Linked DNA regions of Oryzias latipes. The protein of the gene in region 1 purifies or fractionates together with the protein of each later gene. This does not show direct contact. Links are inferred from orthologs where the notes say so. Each region holds a gene or a part of one and is shown on either strand. Other genes may lie near its edges.

Region 1 (4,524 bases):
TATATTTGTATTGCTGTTACTGTCACAAAACAAATAAAAAAATCACATTTGACAACAAATAACTTTAAGAGAAAACAGCAGGGGTTACCTGTCTGAACTGGACCAACTGGCGTGTTTGTGGCTCCTACAATTAAAAATTGTGGGTTGTTTGTAAATGGCTGGTTATCTGTAACGCCCTGAAGATCCGAAGGGGAAAAGTCGAGATGGGAATCAAAACACAGCCCTGAAAGACCAAGGAAAACACAAACCAGTGGGTGTGGAGGTGGTCATGTTAACCACTATCGACATGTTTACCTGCATTACTGTTGTTAGTTTGCAGGTAAGAAGGAATCAAACTGGGAGAAGCTGGAGCTTATTGTGACTGATCACTCTCTTCTGTATTTAGCTGCATCACCCTGGAAGTCATTCTATGGAAAACAAGACTGTATTTGTATAAAAGAAAAATGAAGATTTATATAAAGGAGCATCTGATCCTCCTTTTTGTAAAATAACAGCTTCCTTCTTTAAGCAAGCAAAAAAAAAATACTCTTGTAAGGAATTCAAAATATACCTCAAGTTTTTGGTAAAAGCTAAAAACAACTTCTTCTGGTTGAATATTTTCCATTTTTTTCTAACAAAGCAGAGCAAAACAAAACAAAAAAATTGCAAATTTATAGTTAAAAATGTTTTGATTAACAAAAATTTGTGTCCAAAATGCATTAATTTTACCAGCTATGATATATTTCTTCAAACAAGCACTAAAACTAACTTTAGCTAATCAGGGATGTAGTAAATAAAGAACAACACTGTAAGTACTAATAGTCAGTTATGACATTTGAACGTTTTTTTTTAACTAATTGATTCAATACACAGTCTGACCTTCAACAAAAATAAAGAAACATTTGGGATTTAGTTTGAAGTAGCAGGCAGTCAGGATGTATTCAAATTTAAGCGGCATATTCTTATGGTGGTGGAAGCCAAACAATGCATGTTTTCAAAGCAAAAAAAGGGAGAGTGAAAATTTGTAATAAAAGAAATCACAGAAAATTTACCAAAGAGATTAAAGAACGTGCAAAGCCAAGCTACTTTGGCACAAGTAGCTTCTGGAAAAACCTTTACTTATTTAAAAGTGAGGCAAATATGAAGTGTTTATTTTTTGTATTTATCAATTAATTTAATTTGTATTAAACACAAATGGAATAAATGCACATTTCCCCTCAAAAAAAATAGAGCATATAAAAACAGAATACACCGGTGTTTGAAAAATTCGATTCCTTAAGGTTTCCGTAGTTTTGGGCGATACCATTTTTTGGTTGGGGTTTTTCTTTTAACGTTGCCGCGCTTTAGTTAATGTAAAGCTTATATCTATGATCTGTTGTTAATGAATTTATATTAGATACAATTCAGACAAATTACTGTTTCCTAAAATTCATACAAAGTATAAACACTTGTCTGTAACGTTCACCTAAGTCAAGTGGTATATTCCTAGTGGTTGGGAAGACCTGTGAGTCAAATCAGTACTGTGACAGCGGAGAAACCGGAGTTTTTAAACAAGTAATTACTGAATTAAGGTTAGTTGTAAAGTCTTTGCTTATAATAAGTAATCAGATTTTTTCAACATCAGCGCCACGCTTTGCCGTAATGTCAAGGTTTACGTAGGGAAACTTCTTGTATGACAATTTGCTAACTATAGCTGAGCAATCGTTAGCCGCCAGCTAGCTGGCTAATTGCTAGCTTTTGCCTTAAAATTGCCTTCAGTTGAACAGGAAGAAGTGACATGCTAACGCGCAGTAAGCTAGCATTTTAGCTCAACATCCTATTTTTGGATTGGCATTCCGCTAGCTTGTACCTTTTTTTTTTTAGCTAGGTTCAACAAACATGTCAGAGGGATGCTAAAATGGAGAGACAGCATTCGGTAGCATAATTGTAGTCACAATAAATATTGACGTGGTTTTTCAAGACAAATGTTGAGATGTTTAATGTTGCGTTATAGCAATTGAAATGAATGACGACAAACATGAAAGAACACATACAGGGCCTTCTTTCTCCCACTTGACGTAATAATTACAACTGCTTGCATTAATTTGAACGTTGATAGATTTTTTATGAAGTGTTTCGCTGCTGCTCAGAGGTTTTCTCTTTACTTTTCTCCAAAATATTTAGCTGTTAGCCTCTTCTTGTTGAACAGAATGATTATCAGACATAATAGTGCTATGGAGTGTTGTTTCCATGATCAAAAGAATTGTTTTAAAAATGTCCTTGTTACTATGTTTTATTTGGTAAAGATGTTCAAATCGTGTTATTGGTTTAATTTCCCAGGTGCTGTTTTGAAATCCTCGTATACTTTTGTTTTGTATTTGATGATGCTTCCTTCTTCTTCTTTTTTTTTACTATCAGTTTCTTTTTTGTCATACAGCCTTTATTTTGGTGACTGTGCTGTCAAAACAAACATTTAGAGACCCACTCCAGTAAAAATTGTGTTTGGTGTTTATAACATGTTCTTGTGGCGTTTTTCTGATGGTGGAGGACATAATATAAAGAAAATTGAACCTAAGACTGCATTTCAGAGTATTTTTTAAATTCAAATTGTTGTGAGTCAGGAGCAGATGAAAAACTGCTGTCTGAAAAAGATCGTATTTGTGACGTAGAAGCTACAGTGACCGGGCCACAAGCTCCCTGCTCCATTCCATTCTGATGCATTCATGTACGTCTCTGTTTTCCTCGTCTCAGCTGGAATCTGGCTCAAAACTGTACAGCTGGATTGCTCCAATATTGCTTCCCATTTTTGTTGCATTGGTAATGTTGGGCTTGGTGTGTGAGGGGTTGTACGAGAGTGGGAGAGTAGATGGGTGATGGAAAGTGGGGCGGACTGCTCTGCAGAAAGTATGGCCTAGAAAATGAAAGTTTTTTTTTTTTTAATTTTTTGGACTTAAAAGCTGCATAATCATAGTTAAAGGAATGGGACTTTAACATCTTTCAATATTTCCTGTTCTTTTCTTCTTTTCAGTCAGGCTGAAGGAAAAACTACAATGTCCTTAAAGCCGCGGGTGGTGGACTTTGATGAAACATGGAACAAGTTACTGACGACAATCAAGGCTGTTGTGATGCTCGACTATGTTGAAAGAGCCACCTGGAATGACAGATTCTCGTATCCTTTTAAAGATTTTTTTTTTTTTAAAGATTGTAGGCAATTTATAGCGGTGGTCCCAACCTCCAGGCCAGTCCGTGGGAGAGAGAAAAAAACACGACCTACATTTTTTCCCATTTTCTTTATCATCTGATTTTGAAAGAAGTTTTATTTGGGAAAAGTCCTCGACTCTCTTCACCACATTCCACTCATTCTTGATGCATGTTAAGTTGCTCGATCACGTTTAAAAAACCATCCTCTACTTTCTTAAAGCTGCTGCTCCGACCGTTAAATTGAGACCCCCAGGCTGGCAAAGTTCATTAAAAAAAACACATATGGAAAGTTTGTTTCAGTAGAAAAAAGTTTTAGGGACCAATGTCTTATTTATTCATTTATTTTTTATATTTGTGGAACCCTAAAAGTCTGACGAGGCTGAAGTTGGCATCAGATTTTTTGGCCTCTACTTTGACAGTTATGGGTTACGGGAAAATCTATATCCCTTTTTAATGGTTCCTACTTGAAATCTAGTGTACAAATAAAGTTTAGAGAAGTGGCAAATATTTCACAGAGGATGAAGATCGACTTTACCCTCAAAAGTTAAGGAAAACCTTTAGCTAAAAAAACAAATCGGACGGCCACTTGAACCTCGTTTCTTGTCTGACATTAAACCGGCCCATGGCCTGAAAAAGGTGCGGACCACTGTTTTATAGGGTAGATGGGTTCTTCATCTTTTTCTAAATACAGATTAGCTATTGTTGAGATAAATGTGTCTGAAAAAAGATGTTTTCTTGGTTTGTGATCCTGACCTCAGACACCAGCGACATTTATGCCTTATGTGTTGCATACCCAGAACCCCTGGGGGAAAGATTATACACGGAGACCAAAATTTTTCTTGAAAATCATGTCCGACAGTTATACAAGGTAAGCCTTTCACGCTCTTGCGGGAGAAAAAAAAGAAGTGCTTCTTCCCCCATAAGTTCTTGCTTTTTAGTAATAATATCTGAATGTACTTCTAGAAAGTTCTGGAGTCGGAGGAAAAGGTTTTAGTGATGTACCACAGATACTGGGAGGAATACAGCAAAGGCGCTGACTACATGGACTGCTTGTACAGGTAACTGTATTTTTTGACATCTACCAGCATGCAACAGGGTAGGGCTGGAGGACACTGCTACATTACTGAATCCATCCAGAATATATTCAGCTGTTAGATCTATTTATTTATTTTATTTCTATCCAAAACCAATTTAGTTAAGTTAGGGAAACCTGTTTTTACCAAAAAAAACTGTTCATTTGGAATACGGTGGAATTTTAATTCATGTTCATTGTAACATAAATAAAGGAAAGAATTTTTCAGACACAAAATATTGAAACAAAGAAGTTCTTTAAAGGGAAATCCAGAGGTATTGGATCCATCTTTT
Region 2 (4,276 bases), on another chromosome or scaffold:
ACCACCAGCGCTGGAAGTAGCCACTGCTCTGTCCTGAGGAAAAGCAGGTGAGGAACTCTTGGCCTGACAAAAAAAGCCCTGAGGGAGCTCACAACCACGGAGCTCCAGCACACGTAGAGAAGGAGGCAAGAGGTGGCAGTTGGGTAAGGTTCTCAAGTCTGCATGTAGAAGGCATAGCTTACTCAAGCGAGGGCATTTAGTGGACAAAGCTTTGAGCCAGGACTCTGAGAGAAAGGTTCCACCCCGGGCAGAAAGCAGCAAGCCACGCAGGCGAAGGCACCTCAGTCCACAACCAAAGTACTGACGCAGCAAGACCCAAAGGATGCGAGATGTCACCTGATGTAAGAAAAAAGAAGAGACCATGTGACAATAACGAGGAGAAAACTGATTAAATAAATAATGAGATATAAGCTCAAACACATGCACATCAGAAACCTAAAAGGAGGCCTATTTTTTTTTTGGGACTTACTTTCCTAACAAAGGACAATTAACAACATTTTAAATAACGTGTCCAATTATAGTAGAAATAATAATACAAGAAAAAAAGTGCACCTTTGTCACTGTTTTTAGTGAAGGTTTAAAAAAATTGGACATAAACTAACAAAAGAAAGCCTTAGCACGGTTGTTTCAAACATCACATATTTTTTATCCATGTTTATTACTGTGTCCATTCGATTACAGAAGAATTAATATTAATACTTAATATTCAGGAACTGAAACCACAGTCCTACCCCTTTCCAAGCAGTCAGATCTACTGTTCTCCACAGTCTTTGGTCTTTAACCAGCCGTTTCCATCTCTTACAAACCCTGGAGAAAATGTGGAAACCATTAGAAACTCGCCAGACAGAAGTCTCAACAACAACAACAAAGGGAGATCATCCAGCTGGCTCTGTCTGTCTGTGCATGCTGCTGCATTGTATAGAAAGAACAGGGAACCAAAAATCCAACACATTCAGCAGGGCCACATTTTCATACCTTCCAGCTCGAACAAGCTCTCTGACGCTCAAAAACGACAACACGTCTATCAAGATGTTTTCGGGGAAGTAATCCAAATCGCAGCCTTTGAATTCATCCATTCTGTAAACAAAACCTTCCACACGGACTAATTTCCGGATGCACACGGGTTGCGCTCTAATCAGTAATCCCCAGGAAACAGCTTCTGGTTAGCAACAGTTCAGTTCATTTAACAGTTCAAAGCAACGGGCCTGGGTTTCTCTGAACATACTCAGTCTACGTCTAAGTAGTTATTTAAATTTTAAAAATGTTTATGACATCAGCTCTGCCGCGCGCCTTATTGATAAATGTTCAGAAAATATGTGATGTTGCCACCTATCGTTCGCTAGGTCAACAGTCCACTGCGCACGCGCAGTCTACCGGACAAGATGGCGACCAGCAATGGTGGAGGAATGGAGGTAGACGGGGCAGGCAAGTGTTTGTCTTAAATCAGACCGTTGGAGCCCGACGTTAACATGTACGCGCGCACCAAGGGCCCCGCGTGTTTTGTGTCTCTGCTGGTTTGTGAGCCGGAAAGATTTGGCGGCGCTAAAGCTTCTGGCTACAAAAGCTTTGCTAACATGATAAGCAGGTTAACGGTCAGTCAGTGATGAATCATTCTGGATTTACTGTCGCTTTCTCTGATCTAACTCAGTAATGCGCAGCTGAGTTTATAAATACAGTCACTTAACAATGTACCCATCCTTAAAATGCTATATAATCTAAATCCAGATTAACCGAGCGCTGTTTAAAGAAGGAAAACAACTTGATAGTTTCCCAAATGCTACTGTATTCATTCATCTAGAGTAGGGGGCTGAGACCTTTAACGGGAAACGAGCCACTTGGTCCAGATTCTTACAGATCAAAACCCAACGAGAGCCACAAAGTCTGGCCTAAACATTTAGAAAAATACACTTTTTGTTTGTTTACTTCAGTGGCTTTTTATTCATTATTGTAACAGGTAGCTTTCTTTTACATGTCGACAATAATAGAATCACAAAGGTGTTATATTTTACTAAAAAAGAGCAAGTTTAACTTCTTTACTTCAGACAGCAGCACATACACGTTCCTTTCAAAATAAAATGCACCCTAAGTCAAAAGATCCTCCTGCTTCAACAGATTTAATTTTAGGTGAGCATTCATCCTTTTACTATCAACATAAAGATGTGTGCATTGGTTTAAAATCCAAATAAAAATAAAAATCTATACATGTAAATGCAATTATATATTTTAAGAACTTTGACTCAAAGCAACAACTTGACAGTAGACTATAAGAATATTTGCTTAGTTAAACTAATTAAGTATTTGTTCAATTTTTTTGAATGTCTTTATAGCCGCATGTGGCTCTGGAGCCTCAGGTTGCAGACCCCTGCAACCTCAGATACATCAGACCGAAGCCATTTTATTCAGTCTGTGACATCTACAGGATGAAAAAGTGCTCAACCTGCTTAAGATGAGCATCTTTGTGTAAAATAAAACATGAGCAGCTGCTGATGTGTTGGACATTGTCATACATCCGATGAATTTTTTCCTTTATCAATTGATTAACTACAAAAATGACAGATAAAACTAAAAGGTAAACAGCTTAGGTTTAAAGATCAATCTTCAGGCCTGTATGAATATGTTTAGGCAGGTGTTATCCTCTCTTGAATTGTTTTAGGATTATTTTTTATTTGTAAATGTCTCATCAACACGACAGCCAATTATTTGATATGTCATACTATATCTTATTGTGAAAAATCTACGTTGTGTTCCTTGTGTCTTGTATTTCCTGTTTTGTTGAAGTTGTTGCTGTTTGTGTGTCTGCAGCCACCCCCAGTGTCATGGCCTCGGGGGTCACTGGGAGTGTTTCTGTGGCCTTACACCCTCTGGTCATCCTCAACATATCTGACCACTGGATCCGCATCCGCTCTCAGGAGGGCCGACCCATGCAGGGTATCTGTGATGAAGCTAAACTGTAGCTCCACGCGTTGACCAATCACGTTTACTGATGTCTTCTGGCTCCAACATGGTCATGTCTGTTTCACAAAAAAAAAAGGCAAATGAATTGATTTCATGTGCTTGGAGCCAGAAATAAGCCATTTTCTATGGGTGATGTCACACTAACGCACTCCAATTCTCACATACAATCAGTGGTTTTGATTGATTTGTACTTTTTTTTTCAAACAGAGACATCTTTTAGTGTTAACTAGGAACTCAGAACATGACTAAAATTCATCATCTTATCCAGTAATGTCACTATGAATGCAGTATTCTTACTTGAAGCAGCGGAGCTCTTGAACGTGTGTTTTTCAGGCATGTTTGTGTTGTTTTGGTTGATCGTGGGTTTTCCTTGTTTAGTGATCGGCGCTCTGATCGGGAAACAAGAGGGTCGAAACATAGAAGTGATGAACTCCTTTGAACTAATGTCTCACACCATAGACGACAAAGTGCACATCGATAAGGAGTACTACTACACCAAGGAGGAGCAGTGTAAGCTGGGTTTCTCAATCCGTGTTCTTTATTGAAACTCTGGACCAGCAGTCCTAAAATGTGGACTGAATGAGGCTAAAACAGTCCTGCTGGATTTAAAAGAATAAATAGTCAAAGATTCAGTTGTGAGTTTTGAAATAAACTGAATTAAATTGAAGGTTATGTCATTCCAAACGGTTAATCTCAAAATAAAACTTCATTTTTATGTTTTTTAATATTTGATTTTAATTTTTTCTAAAGCAAATTATTTACTTTTTGGGGTCAAAAATTGGCTTAATTCTTTTGTAAACAGCTAGAACCTTCTTTGTCTCTTAGATGTGAGTGAGTCCTAATTCTGAACTACAAAACAAATGTCCGATTGTTCTTTTTCTCCACATAAAGTACATAAAGTAATCTAATCACCATTTACATTTGTAAAAGTCTGTTTTTTGTTTTCTTTTGATTTTTGGCAAATAAATTGTTGAATTCTGCTGTTTCAGTTAAACAGGTCTTCAAAGACATGGAGTTCCTGGGCTGGTACACCACAGGGGGGCCCCCTGACCAGTCTGACATCCACATCCACAAACAGGTACAGAAACGCCGGCGCTTCATGCTCGACTGCAGCAAAATGTTCAGACTTAGTGATGCTGAGCTGGAAATGATCCACTTTTGGGTCGAACCTTCTCTCACCAATGCTTCTTTAAACGTTTGTCTGTTCTGTGACAGGTGTGTGAGATCATTGAGAGCCCGCTCTTTCTCAAGCTCAACCCGATGACCAAACACACCGACGTGAGTTGTTCTTCAGTCATGGAGGGGCGTGTGTGCGTGTGAA

What was found.
Region 2: the proteins of cul2 (region 1) and cops6 purify together in Homo sapiens (affinity purification with mass spectrometry; 5 studies listed by BioGRID and IntAct, counting the BioPlex papers as one, with this or other methods). This does not show direct contact. The link is inferred for Oryzias latipes from reciprocal best matches to the Homo sapiens genes CUL2 and COPS6.

What each region holds. Positions count from the first base shown.
Region 1 is NC_019878.2:9,092,151-9,096,674, reverse strand, and holds the start of cul2 (cullin-2), read left to right. Parts: upstream 1-1,425; 5' UTR 1,426-1,550; intron 1,551-2,986; 5' UTR 2,987-3,008; coding exon 3,009-3,127; intron 3,128-3,924; coding exon 3,925-4,027; intron 4,028-4,122; coding exon 4,123-4,217; intron 4,218-4,524.
Region 2 is NC_019868.2:6,644,846-6,649,121, reverse strand, and holds the start of cops6 (COP9 signalosome complex subunit 6), read left to right. Parts: upstream 1-1,343; 5' UTR 1,344-1,382; coding exon 1,383-1,425; intron 1,426-2,802; coding exon 2,803-2,928; intron 2,929-3,333; coding exon 3,334-3,465; intron 3,466-3,944; coding exon 3,945-4,033; intron 4,034-4,170; coding exon 4,171-4,233; intron 4,234-4,276. Other genes in the region: fbxl12 (F-box/LRR-repeat protein 12), read right to left, coding at 1-336, 732-807, 976-1,076. UniProt on the Homo sapiens protein: Component of the COP9 signalosome complex (CSN), a complex involved in various cellular and developmental processes.